2 linked regions of the Daphnia pulex genome follow. The main gene of each other region encodes a partner of the protein of the gene in region 2 in a complex. Links are inferred from orthologs where the notes say so. Each region holds a gene or a part of one and is shown on either strand. Other genes may lie near its edges.

Evidence for each region.
Region 1: acylglycerol kinase, mitochondrial-like (region 2) and mitochondrial import inner membrane translocase subunit Tim10 B-like share a complex: the UniProt entries of both Homo sapiens proteins name them as parts of the TIM22 complex. The link is inferred for Daphnia pulex from reciprocal best matches to the Homo sapiens genes AGK and TIMM10B.

What each region holds. Positions count from the first base shown.
Region 1 is NC_060022.1:1,976,867-1,984,951, forward strand, and holds mitochondrial import inner membrane translocase subunit Tim10 B-like, read left to right. Parts: upstream 1-4,158; 5' UTR 4,159-4,249; coding exon 4,250-4,267; intron 4,268-4,335; coding exon 4,336-4,431; intron 4,432-4,508; coding exon 4,509-4,766; 3' UTR 4,767-4,794; coding exon of another isoform or gene 4,795-5,703; 3' UTR 5,704-5,761; downstream 5,762-8,085. Other genes in the region: myosin-VIIa-like, read left to right, coding at 958-1,082, 1,346-1,598, 1,719-1,856, 2,293-2,475, 2,597-2,798, 2,869-3,192, 3,269-3,438, 3,507-3,710; L-seryl-tRNA(Sec) kinase-like, read left to right, coding at 4,795-5,682; transcription initiation factor TFIID subunit 7-like, read right to left, coding at 5,677-5,703, 5,763-5,932, 5,989-6,091, 6,149-6,288, 6,357-6,735, 6,799-6,879, 6,936-7,067, 7,140-7,238; NADH dehydrogenase [ubiquinone] 1 alpha subcomplex subunit 2-like, read left to right, coding at 7,646-7,737, 7,921-8,027. UniProt on the Homo sapiens protein: Component of the TIM22 complex, a complex that mediates the import and insertion of multi-pass transmembrane proteins into the mitochondrial inner membrane.
Region 2 is NC_060017.1:2,647,834-2,656,086, reverse strand, and holds acylglycerol kinase, mitochondrial-like, read left to right. Parts: upstream 1-2,347; 5' UTR 2,348-2,362; coding exon 2,363-2,370; intron 2,371-2,510; coding exon 2,511-2,693; intron 2,694-2,760; coding exon 2,761-2,880; intron 2,881-2,946; coding exon 2,947-3,007; intron 3,008-3,066; coding exon 3,067-3,235; intron 3,236-3,296; coding exon 3,297-3,356; intron 3,357-3,429; coding exon 3,430-3,837; intron 3,838-3,902; coding exon 3,903-4,058; intron 4,059-4,127; coding exon 4,128-4,414; 3' UTR 4,415-4,452; downstream 4,453-8,253. Other genes in the region: trypsin-1-like, read left to right, coding at 587-638, 710-831, 933-1,033, 1,110-1,371, 1,480-1,626, 1,708-1,798, 1,867-1,961; coiled-coil domain-containing protein 134-like, read right to left, coding at 4,453-4,626, 4,706-4,881, 4,946-5,030, 5,091-5,212, 5,306-5,450. UniProt on the Homo sapiens protein: Lipid kinase that can phosphorylate both monoacylglycerol and diacylglycerol to form lysophosphatidic acid (LPA) and phosphatidic acid (PA), respectively. Does not phosphorylate sphingosine. Phosphorylates ceramide.

The DNA of each region.
Region 1 (8,085 bases), on a different chromosome or scaffold from region 2:
AGTTCATCCTAGTAGTAGGCTCTATTCGTATCAAGGTACTTAAACAACAAGCAATTATATATCCAGCCAGTCGAACGACTTGAGGGCACATATACAAGCGCCATGTGTTATTAAAGGGACGTCGGGACCGGTTGGTTCTATCAGTTGGCGGGACGACGTCGTCGAACTCGGCCGCATAGTTTCTTCAAAGCTCCTCTTTCTCTCTATCCTCTTTAAAGTTTGAGCTAATTAAAAATAAAAAAAGAAGACGAACCAGTCAAATAGTTGTAGTAGTAGCTATTTCCTCCTCCCCCCGCCAGTATTTATTACATGTGTGTGAGAGGTTGTGCAGGTGTTGTGTTTTGTGGCAAGTTTGTACAGTTAGTTGAAAACAATGACTGACGCATGAACGCGTGATTAGTGGTGCGTCTACCCGGTTCTGCCAGCAGACGGAACCTTTTGACTAGCCAAAGAAAAGTCGGGAAAAATCTGTCGAGAAAAAGAAAAATCTTGAAAAACAACAAAAGAAGATAGAGCCGAAACGACGACGTCGAGGAAAAATAGATATTTTACACGGGGCTATTACGAGAGAAAAAGCAAGAAGAGGAGCTCGTCGGCAATGGCTTTAGTGTTGATGCCACCGCCGCCGATCATGGAAGTGGCCACCTACCCGTTCTTCTATAATGGGGTTTACTATCCGGCTGGAACGCCCGTCTGGCCGGTCAGCCAAATTTTTTTTTTGCCAAACAATTTCTAACGTTTTGTGTCCGCACATCTATTTTATTTTCCAGCTGTTTAGTTCCGTTTTCTTAAATTCTTGTTAAGACAAGACGCAACGTAGAGAATAAACCAAAAAAATCACATGAAAAAGAAATTTTGTTTTGCCGTTACGTGCGTGGACTTGTGGGTTTTTTGTTATTAAAAAAAAAGCCGAATAATAATAATTATTATTCTTTTGGGTTGTTGTTTCTAAAATAGGCACTTTTCACGCTGGAGGGAGCGGAGCAAAGCCGCCGGATGGTGACTTCGCAGCAGGGCAGCAACGGGACGGAGCCGCAGGAGAAACCGCACACCCTGGAGGAGTACGCAGTCGATCACTTCCGGTGAGATACCATCACACGTTTGCTTGAATTACTTTTTCTTTCCCCCCTGAATAAATTGTATAGAAGATAACAATAATAATCTCCACCAATTTGTGTGCTGCCCCCCTTCTATAGTACATTTTTTCGCCCCTTTTCATTTTCCCTTATCAATTTTTGGAACCCGCATCATCGGTTGTTTCTTTTTTCCAACGTGTTATTTGAAAACAACCGGGAAAAAATCAAATTCGACGATATTATTCTAATACACATTCTATATAATACAGCCCGCCGCAGAAGAAGACTGTGCCCAAGGGATTGACGGCGGCTCGTCGCGGGAGTCACGACGAGCTGTGGCGTCATTCGCGTGATCCCCTCAAACTGCCGCTGCTTCGCAAATTATCGTCCAAGGAGGAATTGAGTCACGAAGCCATTTTCGCATTCCAGGCTTGTTTGAAGTACATGGGTGACATTCCTTACCGTCGGGCCCGCTCGGCCAATGAACTGACCGACCAGATCTTCGAGGGACCCTTGAAACACGTAAGCACCGAAAATTCGTCATCTCTCCATTCAAACATTTCGTGGGGCTGAATAAACGAGTTGGACTCGTTTCACCGACATCATCATAATCGCTGCCAACTGTGCTTTGACTATATACAGGAACAATTACGAGACGAGGTGTACTGCCAAATCATGAAACAACTGACTGACAATCGCAATCGATTGAGCGAAGAACGCGGATGGGAATTGATGTGGTTGGCTACCGGATTGTTCGCCTGCTCGCAAAACCTACTCAAAGTACGTCACTGGTTTGAATTTTGCCTCCACTTTTTTTTACAGTTATATGGGGGGTTTTGGTCCGGGTTCGCGTGCCTCTCGGATATCACCTCATTAGACCGTCAATAAGCATTTTTAAAAAGCCCGCATTTTTCTATAATGGACGTTGGTTTTTTTCTTCGGCACTGCTGCCCATCTGCTGCCGCAGTTTATTTGTTTGCTTGTCTTTTGACCTTGGCACGGACCATCTGTCGCCTCGGTTTTTTGACGTTGCGTCCAACAGGTGTGAGATGTAAACGACAGCGATATGCTTCCAGCGTTCTTCTGAAATGTTGTATTATTATTTATTTCGGGCTCGGCGCGGCCGCCCAGCGCACAGCGTGATATCTACTCCCGACATTCGTTTCACTTGTCACGTCTGTTTTGTTTTTGTTTGTTTGGTTTTTTCCCGAAAAAGGAATTGACGCTATTCTTGCGGACGCGCCGTCATCCGATCGCCACCGACTCGCTTCAGCGGCTGCAAAAGACGCTGCGACACGGACAGAGAAAGTACCCGCCTCATCAGGTGGAAGTGGAAGCCATCCAGCACAAAACGACGCAAATCTTTCACAAAGTTTATTTCCCCGACGACACGGACGAGGTGAATACTCGGAATTTTCTTTTTTCCCCTCTCACTTTGAGTGTCAACAACATCGTTTCAATTTCATTGGGTTGTTTTATATTTTCTGTTCTCTTTTCAATGTTTTTATGCGCAATTCCAGGCCTTTGAAGTCGATTCTTCCACCAGAGCTAAAGACTTTTGCCAAAGCATCTCGCAGCGACTGGCACTCAAGTCGGACGAAGGTTTCAGTCTCTTTGTCAAGATTGCCGACAAGGTCATTTCGGTGCCCGAAGAAGACTTTTTCTTTGATTTCGTCCGCCACTTGACGGACTGGATCAAAAAGGCCAAACCGACCAAAGACGGTAACGTTCACATCGTCTACAATTTTATCGTTATCCCTTTTTCTTTATTATATGTTTATGGCCTGGACAGGTATCACGCCTCAATTCACCTACCAAGTGTTTTTCATGAAGAAACTGTGGACCAACACCGTGCCGGGCAAAGACCGCAACGCCGATACCATCTTCCATTTCCACCAAGAGTTGCCTAAACTGCTGAGAGGCTATCACCGCTGCAACAAGGACGAAGCCATCCGTCTGGCCGCTTTCATTTACCGCGTCCGCTTCGGCGAGAGCAAAGCCGAGCTGGCCAACGTGCCGCAAATGCTACGCGACCTGGTCCCGGCCGATCTGATCAAACTTTTAGGCAACAATGATTGGAAGAAAACTATCACGGCTGCTCACGCTCAAGATTCAGGTTTGACATTTGATTGAATGATTGACTTGATTCCATTTGGTGTTGACGCCACATCGTTTTGAATTGAACATTTTAGGAATGAGTGCCGAAGACGCCAAGATCAACTTTCTAAAGATTATTTACCGCTGGCCAACGTTTGGTTCGGCCTTCTTCGAAGTCAAACAAACGACCGAGCCCAATTTCCCCGAACAGCTTTTGATTGCCATCAACAAAAGCGGAGTCTGTCTGATCCATCCACAGACTAAGGTGAATATCGCACACCCGCCATTATCTTTCTTTTTTGAACTCGGAATTAACATTTGTTCGTGTTCTAGGACATTTTGGTGACTCACCCGTTCACGCGCATCTCCAACTGGTCTTCGGGCAACACTTACTTCCACATGACTATCGGCAACCTGGTGCGAGGATCGAAATTGCTGTGCGAAACCTCGCTCGGCTACAAGATGGACGACTTGCTCACCTCCTACATCTCCTTGATGTTGAATACCATGAACAAGCAAAAGTCCATGCGGCTCTAATAATTTGCTCGCTCTTATTCTTCACCATTTTATCCCATTCAAACGAGAACGTAAATGTTGGCTATCGAGATGAGCTTCGTTCCTTTGGTCAGTTTATAGATTGATTTTCCATCACGAGAATTAGCAACTTTGTGAATAGTTTCTGAATTTTGCGATATTTTGCCACTACCTAGTTTTCCGTGTTTTTTTTTGAATTATTTTTAATTGACACCGGGGTCATCTGCTTTTGACGGGGTCTACTATTGTCAATGCATGCTTCGCTAGCTCTCCTCAAAAGCAAGGAACGATCCCGTTTCCCCTTTGCAGTTTTCATCGCCCTCATAATCGTCTTTTAACAAATTTATGTATATGTTATTTGAAAAATGAAGAATTATAATAAAGCATTTTACACTCGAAATCAATAGATAAACAAGTAAATTAATTTTTAAATTTTTTTAAACAAAATACGGATATGTTGACGTTTCGGCTAATGTGGCAACCCGGTGAGCCATATGTTTTGCAGACGACATGAATTGTCAATTTGTGGAAAGTAATTCGAAATGGATGCACTCAGGAACGTAAGTTTTTAGAAAATGTATTTGAATTGTAATTAATGCCAGAAAGTTAATTGATCTCTTCTTCCTAGTTTAAAGATTTTCTCTTAGTGTTCAACAAAATGTCAGAAACTTGTTTCACGCGATGCGTGAACACATTTCAGACTAGAGAGCTGACTGAAGATGAGGTAGGCTAAGAACATGAGGTTTCTCTTTCATAACATATCAGACCAATAGTTATTTTTTTGTTTTTGCTTTTTTTTAGGATAAATGTGTTGAAATGTGCTCAACGAAGAACATTAGAGTCAACCATAAAATCATGTCTGTGTATATGGAAGTTCAACCTCTAATTGTGCAAAAGCGAGTGGAAGAGATGGAGAAACTTAACCCACCACAAGCAGTCGCAGAAACTATTCCTGAAGTTGCTGAAATTAACACAGTTGCACAGTCAGTCATAATAGCAGAAACTGAGCCTCAACATGTTTCACAAGAGACCTCATCTTTAGAGCCTCAAGTTGTGTAAAATAGTGACACATACCAACAGGACAGAAATGAATCAGTGTTATTGCATTGTGGTGTTACTAGGTTTGCCTGCCAGTGGAAAGAGCTGGTTAGCAGGAAGATTATGTAGTTTTTTAACAGAAAACAATTGCATTGTGAATTGTGCAACTTTTGATACTATTGTGAGTTTAGAAAAACAGGCTGAAATTGCTGTTTCGTCATCTAGTGAAATAACAAAGCATTACCGTCGCGAGATGAAAGACACTGTGGAGTCTTTCTTGAAAGTGCCCAATCCTTCTTCCAAAAAGTGTGTCGTAATTGTTGATGATAACAACTACTATCGAAGTATGCGGTATGAATATCATCAGTTAGCGGCCAAATTCTACACAGGCTACCTTCAAATTTATGTCAAATGCGAAGTGTCTGAAGCGTTACTCCAAAACAACAGTCGTCCGCAAAGCAGCCGTGTTCCTGACATTGTAATCACTCAAATGAACACCAAATTTGAAGATCCCTGTGAAGCGTGGGAAAATTCTTTGACGATTGGACACATTGATTTAAATGATACAGAAATATTGAACAAGATATGGAATTACATCCAGAATGCTGTGGATAGTCCTGTCTCAACATTGAAGACTCTAGAAGAAAAGAAGCTTGCGTCCGAGCAAAGCAAACTACGCAACGATCACAACATCTTTCACAATATCGACAAAGTTCTTAGAAAAAGATTAAACCAATGTATACGCGAACGTAAAGAAGAAAAAGACGCTCGTGTATTGGCAGCACAACTAAACGACACTCGACAATCTATTTTGGAAGGGATCAAAACAGGCGCCATTGCAATCCCGACAGACATTCTGAAGGCGGATGGATCCATCGATTTATCTATCCTTGAGGTTTGGTCCATTTCAGCTTTTATCCAGAGGTGTCCGTTATAACATGGACATGATTTGGTCATACTAGAATACAATTTGTTAAAAATAGCTGAAATAATAATAAACAACACAATAGAGATCACCTCTTCCTTTTTCTCTTGTTCCTGAGCAACAAGTTTTGAAAGAGCCATCTGAAATCTTTGCTTGAGGGCGGCGTTTTCAATTGTAGCTAGCTCGTTTTCTTGAGCTTGTCTCATGTTCTTGATCTCACGGATTTCATCCCTCAGTTTATCAGCCATTTTTTGCAAATCGTCTTAACGACAAATGATATTAATTTTTAAAGCAGAAAAACAAATTTGAAATGTTTACCTTTTTGTGTGTCGATGACCTTTTTTTGTGGAGATAGATTAGAAGAACTGCTGTCATCCCGAAACATATCTCCGCTAAATTGGGTTATCATAGAATTGGACCCCTAAAAAAGAGAATGTAACAACTATCGAAACAAATTTAATTATTTTAAATTTGGTACCCTGTTGCTTCCTGCATAGAACTCCGAACCCGATCCACGGGATTCGTCACTGTTTTCGTAGTCTGATTCCATAATGTTGATCTTGCTTCCATGTTCTTCATCTGAGTCGCTTAGTGCCTCACCAAAAATATCGTGTTCGGCTATAGATAACAGAAGTATGAAGCAATTTGAACGAGTGCTGAAAACCGTTGGTTTTTACAAAACATACCCAAGCCACGGTTTTGTGTGCTAACGAATGTTCCGGATGCAAGAGGGACGGTCATTGCTGCCCCATCTCCCAACCCAGCTTCATTGGCTGCCTTTACCTTAGATTCATCTTCTTCTGTGATCAGTTCCCATCGTACACTTACCGCTTCATTATCAACACGCAGTAGGCGCCTGACTTCTTTTTCGATTTCAGGAGCCTCAACGTACTTCTTTTTAAGGGTTTTTCGAAATCTCCTTTTCCTGACATTCTTCATTGGTGGAGCTATGCCGTGAGGCATAAGGAATTTTTTATCGACCTTATGAGGATCTTTTTTCTTTGGTTTAACAGGAGTTTCTTCTTCACTACTTGACTGTTGTTCTCCTTCTTTACAAATCAATATCTTCAAATTTTAAATATCAGGTAAAATCAATATTCTAAGAATTTGAATTGAATTATTACTCACCTGGCTGACATCAGCGGCTTTGTAAAATGTTTTATTGTCAATGGTTTTTTGAGATTCCATGACACATGGAAGATCTAAAACCTAAGTAAATATTTGTTTTACAATTGAATATCAAATACTCTAATTAAGAATAACACCTTGGCAGACATAGTCCAATTGTCAAACTGAACCTGTCCTTTCCTCATGTCATTATCCATTCTAATATTTAGGCGGTCCTTCAGATTCATCACACCTGTCCTTAGAGTTTGTCGCAAACTTTCGGCACATTCCTACCACAAACACATTAAAGAATTTCAGTTTAAGACAATAATAATGTGAATACAAGTGTCCAAAGAACTCACTGGTAAGGTTGGTGGGAGTCTCAATATAAACTGATTTTCCAACTCATCTCCTCCATTATCATTTGTACTGCTAGGTGGTAGAACTGTAGGTCTATTCATTTTTTAACAATTGAGCCTACCACTAATATTATTATATCACGAGTCACTATAAAAATTAGAATCAAATATTCGTGATTCGTCGTTCACGAGCAGACGCCACAACAATGTCGGACTGTCACTGTAGGCGTAGGCCGTGTAGCAACGTCAGCGTTGTACTGTATTTTAGACGTTGCTATACTTTCATACTTTTGTATTACTAAACTATTGTTCCAGGATTCATTTCTATTTAATAATTGGTAATTTAAAGAGAAAATAAATTTATCTAAGACAAAACGGGGATCAGAATACTTTTCAAATAAGAAATAACTCTTTACTTTTGTTGCTCGCCGCTAGGATCAAGAGCAAGATATCTCGAATCTCGATTCTCGAGTTTGTTTTGTTGTCGAGTCTGCAAAAACTTTTCCAACATGGCAGCCGCTAGAGCAGTAAAAATTTTGCCCCATGTGAAAGAGATTCGGATTCATCTTTGCCAAAAGTCAGACGCCAGCAAAGGGGTTAGGTAAATGAAGAGTGTGTTAAATGAAATGTAAAATGCGAATAATCTTTTATTGTGAAAGACGTGAATTATTCTGTGTAGACGTATAATCATGGTGTAATCGTAGAGAATAGTCTCATTCAGTCATTCCCTTAATTTTATCATTTTAACTCTTCATCTTCATGGTGTTATTACTATTCATTTTAGAGATTTCATTGAAAAGCATTACATCGACTTGAAGAAAACCAATCCCAAAACACCTATCCTCATCAGGGAATGCAGTGGTATCCTGCCAAAAATCTGTGCCCGACATGGTTGGTTTACATATTCTAATTTGGATTCATAGTAAAAATTACCTTAATTGTCTTTTTA
Region 2 (8,253 bases):
ATCCTAGATTCAGCAGAGAATTAAAATAGCTATGATGAAATTAATATCAGTAATTTATTGTGTGAACCGGCGATTAGGCTACGGCTTCGCATCCGAATAAAGTTTTATGTTCAAGTCTAGGCTTTTCGTATGAACTACTATGTATGTTGATTTTGTATATAGTATATGTTTCACTCGTACGTTATTAGGATTATGGCTGCTTGTGCCGAAATTAAAAGGTTAGCGGTAAAATATGGAAAAATATTTTGCCTCCTATTTTGAGTCCGATTAAAATATTATCTAAAGTGGTACGTGATTTTATCGTTTCCGGTTTCTAGTATAGTGTCACGATGATACTAAATATCAAGATTCTGTTTGAACTTGAAGATAATGCCGACAGTTTGTGCCATAGCAACACAGACATAAGAAAACGCGTTATATCTTGATTTGAAATGTTTTTGCGTCACGAAGAAGCTTTAAAAACGTTGAAATATCAAAGTACTGGTTCAGTTCTTGGTTACAGTTCACCTAAAATAGTGAGTTTTACATTCGTTGCGTGTAACAAAGGCATCCAACACAGGCCCACGCTTTCGCATTTCAGCAAGCAATGAAGATATACCTGGTGCTCTTCTTAACGGTATTTACGGTAACTGCTACAGGTGAATTCAGTTTTGCAATGGTCAGGGGAGTTATGGTGCAATATTTTATTAACAAATACGTTTTTTGAAAGCAGCCAGCAGTCTCGCACGGTTTCCCTTGAGTGTTTTCCTTGATACTGAACTAATAAGAACTAAACGTGATGGACGCATCATCGGTGGAGCCGATGCGAAAGAAGGAGAATTCCCCTGGATGGTTCGTTAATTTTCTCTCGCTAAATTTGAAAATGTTGTCGTTATTTCTAGTATTGTGACTCATTGTTGGTACGTAACTCTTTTCTTCTTCATCCTTTAAAGGTTTCGTTGCAGAGAAATGGCTTTTTCGGGCGTTCTCATTTTTGTGCCGGTTCGATAGCAGATGCGAGCAGTATCATCACTGCGGCTCATTGTTTAGAAGAGTATAAGCAATACGTTTTAAATTTCACCAAGAGAAAGTTTGAATGATAATAACCGCAAGATTCACGTACTATATAGGCTTCATCCAATTGGAGTTTGGGCGGTTGCTGGCGAACACAGGTTAGATCTCGTTAGTGGTTATGAACAAGAGCTGAGAGCAGTCCAATTTGTTCTTCACGAAGAATATGACCCAGATTACCTGAGGAATGATATTGGAATAATTCGATTAAATGGAGCCTTCGTATTCAACTCTTACTTGAAACAAGTTAAACTTCCTAGATCCGGCTACTTTACTCATCCAGACACGGCCGTTACGGTCGCAGGTTGGGGAACCACAAAAGTACGCGTTTAATAATAAATTCATTAATTTAAGGCTCATCTCTTTTGAGAACTTTAAGCGCATGAATAATTTAAACTCGAGGATGCTGAAATAAATTCGCTTATGCAGGAAGGAGGGAATTTATCTAATGTGCTACTAAAAACGACAGTTCCTGTGGTATCCGACGAAGACTGCCGCTTAATTTATGGTGCAGGGCTAATTGTTGATTCCATGCTATGCGCTGGATATACATCCGGAGGCTATGATTCGTGTCAGGTATATGCAGAAAATTTAATTCTGATAAGTTAATTTAAGTCTGATATTAAATAATGACACCAAAATTTTACAAAAATATAGGGAGATTCTGGTGGACAGCTCATGTTGGGTGACAAAACTCTTGTTGGTATTGTGTCTTGGGGTAAAGGCTGTGGTCAACCTGATTATCCCGGTAAATTACAACACTTTGCAATAAATTTATTGAATGATCTTGTTGATTTTTCGCTATCTTTTAATAAGGTGTTTACACCGAAGTTTCGGCTTATATCGGATGGATTAATATGAAATTATCAACGGCGGAAGCTTCCACAACAACACAAACATCTCGTAATTGAATAATTAATAAAATGTGGCTAAATTTTAAAATAAAAAAATGGGCACGCAAATCTAACGATAAACATACGTAATTATTTTTGTACAATATTGAAATATCAAATATGAGAGAAACTTTGCTATCTGAATAAAATGTATGTAAATCAAATTTTCAAAAGGCAACAAACTTTCATTTTGCGTTACTAGTGAACACATGGTCCAATCCAATCCAATCCAAGGAAAACATCTGGTGGGGCGTCCATAATCCTACTTTTTTGCGTTATCGAAAAAAGGTAGCGTGGATGAATTTTGAAAAGTTTATTCCCCAATACTCCCAATAAACCCGTTTGTGTAGGCCTAATTAGAGAAAGCGAGAGAAAGAAAACGTACGGTACTTGATCGGACATTGGAGATCAAGATCCACATGAAAACGTATGCAAACATATTGATATCGTTGCATTTTGATCGACTGACAATATTTTGCCTTATTTATTTATGATATGGGAATATCTGCGCGATTGTGAGTTGATTGTGGAAGAAAAAATTGAAACACTTTATCCGTTTACCAATAGATGTCGAAAAATACGTCGTCTGCAGAACGTTATTTTCAAAACACGGCGAGACCTGAACCGCCTGAACTTCAACATGGCAAGGATCGTTCGCATTTTCAAAACCCTGCGAAATAATTGGAAGAAATCAACCGTTGGTTTTCTCCTCGTTTCTTATGGAGTAAACTATGGCGTCACAAAATTCAGGTACTCATAGAAGTGAAATGTATTTTACCAATGATTATGTCTTAAAATATTTCTCCCATTGGTGCAGGACTAAAGAGATGTTGAGACTTTATTGTGAGGAAGCTAAAAGCTATGGGGATGTTCCACTTCCTATAGGACTACCTGCTCGCCAAATAACTGTAGTGTTGAATCCCGCTTCAAATGGAGGGTGCTGCACTTAATATTTTCTCAAATCACTTTGACGTTTTTAAAAGTTAATTTTAAATGTGTATAGGAAAGGCAAATCAGAATTTGAGGATTATTGTGCTCCATTACTTTATCTTTCTGGAATGAAGGTTTGAGTCTCATTATTTATTTTTGTTTGACCTTAATAAGTTCTCATTCTCTATTCCAGGTCAGTGTGGTCAAAACTGAATCTGTTGGAGAAGCCAGGGGATTGATGGAAGTGATGGATAACTGTGATGCAGTAGTTGTTGCTGGTGGAGATGGAGCCATAACAGAAGCTGTAACTGGATTGCTGAGAAGGAATGATAGTGGGTTAGCAGTCCAACGATTTCCTATTGGTATCACAATGAATTATATATTTCCCTAAACATTTTGTTTGAAAATATGTTTCTTCTCCAGGTATCATCCCTGTAGGAAAACTCAATAACATTGCAAAATCTATCTTTAAAGAACATAAAGGTATGCAATATTTTGATGGTTTAAAAATGCAGCTTTTAATTGATTCTACTATTACCCCTTGGTCTCTTTTCAGATGATAGAATCAAACTCATGGCTGAAGCAACTATGGCAATAATAAGAGACTTTCAAAAACAGGTAGATGTTATGAAGGTAGAAATATTGGAAAATTCAGAAAATCCTACTGGAAAACCAGTTTACGCACTTGGTGAACTGAAATGGGGAGCATTTCGAGATGTCGAGGAAAGAATTGGGAAATACTGGTTGTGGGGACCACTGAAGTCATATGCCGCCTATTTCTTTGGAGCTTTCAAAAATCTCACGTGGGAGTGCAATGCACAGTTTCACTATACCGTACCGTGTGAGGGTTGTAATAACTGTATGAGAAACAATTTGCAAGATGCAAATGAGCTGAAATTTGGTTCGCAAGTACAGAATTCTCGATGGTGGCATGCTTTTATACCACGAACTAGATCCGTCAAAGGTAATTGTATTCCTTTTATCAGGTCATTCACGTTATCTTAACATATTATTTACAAATTTCTCTAGATACAAAACAAGTCAAAGATTATTCAAAAGTTGTTAATCCCGAATGTGGGGTATGGCATCAGAAGGATTTCTCATCCGTAGAGTTCCAAGTTCTAACCGAAAACAATGTAAATTTCAGTCCTCCAAATCTACCGAAACATTTGGAAGTCAATCTTGGTAAAACATCTTTTAAATAGCTGAAACCTGTGAGTGATAATTAAAAAAAAAATTCACTCTCTCACTTAGGACCTGAAAATATAAGTGGATTTGAGTTCGTGAAAGAGGGTTGGTTAAGGACCAAAACAGAGACCAGTCAAAATAATCGCGAAAAGATTCTCGTACGCCAATTTGAAATGATCCCTAAAATTGAAGAAAGTTCGATAGCGGAAAAGGAAACAACTGAAGAGGGAAAAAGTGTTGAAGTTGAAGAAAGGTGGTATTCGATAGACAATGACAACTACGAAGTTAAACCAATTCGAGTCACCGTTTTACCAGACGCCATTAAAGTTTTTAGCGCATCTACCAGTAGATAAATTGTATTTATAAGAAAATAAAACAATTTATATAGCTTTCACAATTCATTTTTTAATCTTGATCCCGATAAAGAAGGACCTTTAGATATTTTCTTTCTCACTTTCTTCTTTTCGACATTTTCGGGTAAAGGATCTGGTTTCTTTCGATTTGCCTCTGCGTATGGATTAAAATAATTTGATTCTCGTTCGACCAAATTTAATTCTTGCGCAACCTGCAATATTTTCAAATGTCAAGCATTAAGAAGATGAATAACACTAGAATGGTTTGATTAAAGAAACATTGAAATTTACCAAGTGCAGCATTTTCTTTGTTGCAGTGCTCAAAAAGACAGACTGTTGACAAATACTTAAACTCCATTTGAATATGGTATTCCATTCATTATTTTTAAGAAACGCTTTTGTTGCATCAGGTAAATAGAGCACAAGATCCCCCATAAATGCAGTATTTTCTATCATGCTTGACAGAGCTATTTTAAAATGCCTCATCATCATTAGCTATAATTTCAGAATAATAAAACCAATAAATAATACCATCACGAAGAGATTCATCTTGAGGAAAATCAGATTCTGGAAGATAGCCAGAGCTTTCCAGCTTGATTCTACTATGAGTTAGAACCTACAAAAACTTGAATTAATTACAGCCTTTTTCCGTTTTCTGAAATGTTAGTCTAACAACCTCCATGATTTTGGTTATGACAAGTTCCAGAAGCTTGCGTTGTTTTTCAATTGATTTGACTTCTGCAATCCGTTGAACTGCATCTTTCTGTTCACTTCTTTTAAGTTGGAACAATCTATCAACTAATGGAGACACAATTGAAAAGGCATGAATAACCAAGAAACTCACACTGGTGGGTACAAGGCTATTATAATGAGAGGAAACGTAATACTTACACAGAGCAACCGCGTTAGAATTTATATTTCCCCGAGTTACTGGAACAGTTTTCGTTTGATCTGAGGGACTTATTTTGTCGCCAGCACTTACCAATGATGCACAAAACAACAAAATGTAGCAAAAATTGTTCGAATGCCCCGCCATGTCAGAATTTTCCCAAAATCGCAGGTTGTTGTGAATTGTATGTCGTCTGCATTACTCGATTGATTTCTTTCCTGCAGATGGCGTCCTGTACTCCTGTTGCTTGCAGCAAGTGGTAACTGCGAGAGTGCGAGTGCGATCGAAGTAGTTGAATCACAAGCACGTGTGGTGCTTGCCAGAAATCGTGAATAAAAAAAAACTCGTTTGCTCTGTAAATTTGGAATATCCATTTACAGTTTCATCAGTATCCACCATCACTCGTCCCTAGGTGAGTTCTGATTACCAGATAATTACGTAGAGTTGTGTGTAGAGAGTTAAAACAATAATGGCGGCATGATTGCTTCATCGATCATCCATGAACACATTGATGTAAGTCACGTAACTTCTCTTGTAATTGTTTTTTTGTGACCCCCACGCTTTGACATTGAAACATAGTTATTAGACGGTTGGTTTTTTTAAATGTTACGTGTTATTTGGCAAGATCACAGAGCAAAAAGAAGTGTTACGCGAGTTGTAAAGTGTGAAAGTTCTCATCTTGAATGGTGATTCGAGAACGATTGCTGATGCTGTTGGCGTTCCAAAAATGTCTTAGGAAATATTTTTAGAACTAGTATGTCTTTGGCTCTTTGCAAACGAGCTGTTGGCTTGATTGATCGCGTTGTCTTTATCTGTTGAATCCAAAAGAAGGTAGCAAATGAAATCACAGAAATTCAAGAATCGCGAGAGATTTTCGAAGAAATTAGTCCGGTGTGTGTTAGCCAGCTGTTGTTGTTTGGACTGTAGACAAAGTAGAATGACAGTTTGATTTATGAATACGCATTACATGTAAAGCACGACGGTGGAGAACATTAAATGTGTGCGTTCGTATTCTGCTGGATTTGGGTACGGTGGTCACGACTCGTGTGAGTGTGCCGTACCCTGGCCAGCACGCAAAGGTCGAGCACGTCAAAAGTCTGTTATACTGTCGGCGAAGGACACCCGCCCGTTTCGTGGCCAAGTTCTTGGCAGCCGCTCTTGCGTGAGTCGAGTCCACCTTTCATTATATTATTGGGCCGCGATCAAGAGTAATAGTCTGCAGACTGCAAAGTCAGGTAACTAATGCATATATAACTATATAAAAGCGTTACCGTGTTGCTGCTCGGCCAGATGTGACACTGCTGTGCCCAGACTGCCCGAGTCGTGACGATAAACATCGACTCCATTTAATGTCTTTGATGGATGATCGCCGATCTTCACGGTTCTATACTTTGATTCAATTACGATGATAATGGCGGGATCTCATGAATGAGCTGGCAAGCACGCCATTTTAGTTAGGGCACCTTATATCTTTTTCTCTGTAGTTTCACATGGCACACCGAAGGTCGTAAACTTCAAAAGCCGTAAAAAAACAAAAAACTGCCCCTCCAGTGATGCTGAAAAGTGGTCAAACTTGATCTCCGCTATTATTCCGAAAGACTCTCTTGTTGCTGTCCGTTTTTTTTTTTCGTTCGCCATGCCACTGCTGGGTGTCTACTATTGAGAAAGGACGAATCCATCCATCGGGTTCGTTTTGTGTGTCATTTGAATATGCCCACAAATAATAATACGGAGCAAGGCCTTGTTCGCTATTGCTACTGTGCGCTTGATTCATGTCTTCATAATCGTCAACGAACCCAACTGTGGAAAAAGCAATCGCCCCAGCCGGGCATCGATTCCCAGAAATACGTCAATGCGCATTGCCCTGCCAGCCTGCTTTTTGTTGCTTCGGCGTGTCCCGCTACTTCACGTTCGTGACGCCGTCACGACAGCTTGATCGCGGGCAAATATAGTATAACTGCCGACAGCAGGGACCACCACTATGTCAAGGAAGATGGCGTGTGTTTGCGGCCAGTTAATAATATTTTATTTTCCATTTTTGTTCGCCCCTTTTGTGCTCGATAATTTAATTCACCGAGTTGTGAATTGCCGAGTTCTACTTATCGTCCCCTATTCTCCGACACGTGGATTAAATTTCCTCCTCTTTTGTCGATATTAATCTTGTTTTATAGACTGTTCCAGATAGCAGTGGAAACTCTGGTTTGGGTTGATCGATTTCTTGTTTTCCCGCCGTTCTTTTCGTGAATTTATGATTTCAACAAAAAATAATGAAGCGAAAAATCCGGTTCTTATCAATTCTGTGCGATGTGGTAGTAGTGAGACACTGCCACATTCTTGAGAGACTATGGCTCTCGAATTAAAAGAAGCGCGACTCTACTATAGGAGATGAGGAGGAATCGATGAGACGAACAAGTCAGTCATCGCTCACGGTACGGCGGCGGACGCCTGAACGCGAATAAGTAATAAGAAGGGGGGGAAGGCGTAGATGGAAGAGAGGAACGAGTGGCCTCTGTGTGTGTGTGTGTACGTACGTCATCACGTCGATGGGGACCAGCAGCAGCAGCGAGAAACTCTGCGCCTGCGTCGGGCTCGAGCGCTGCAAGCAGCACTGTGGCGTTCCAGATTGCCTCCGTTGCTTGCAAACTCTCTCTCGTACCTCTTCTATCCCCCCCAACACCCTCCCACAACCTCGCCCCGTTTCCCTCCTCCTTTTTTTCGTCCCGGGAGTCTATATAGCGGGGCAGTCGGTACCGGGACTGGGTTCAGTGTCACCTGAAACCTCCTACAGTGAACACAGGGAGGCGTTTTCTCCTCTCATCTTATCGTCCCTCATTTTGGTCTTATTCAAACATTTCCAACACGTCGATATTTTCTCCCCACACTTGTTATCGCTTATTTTCTGGGGGGGTTGGGGAGTTTCTATTAAAACGTCGAACGGGACGAAAATGAC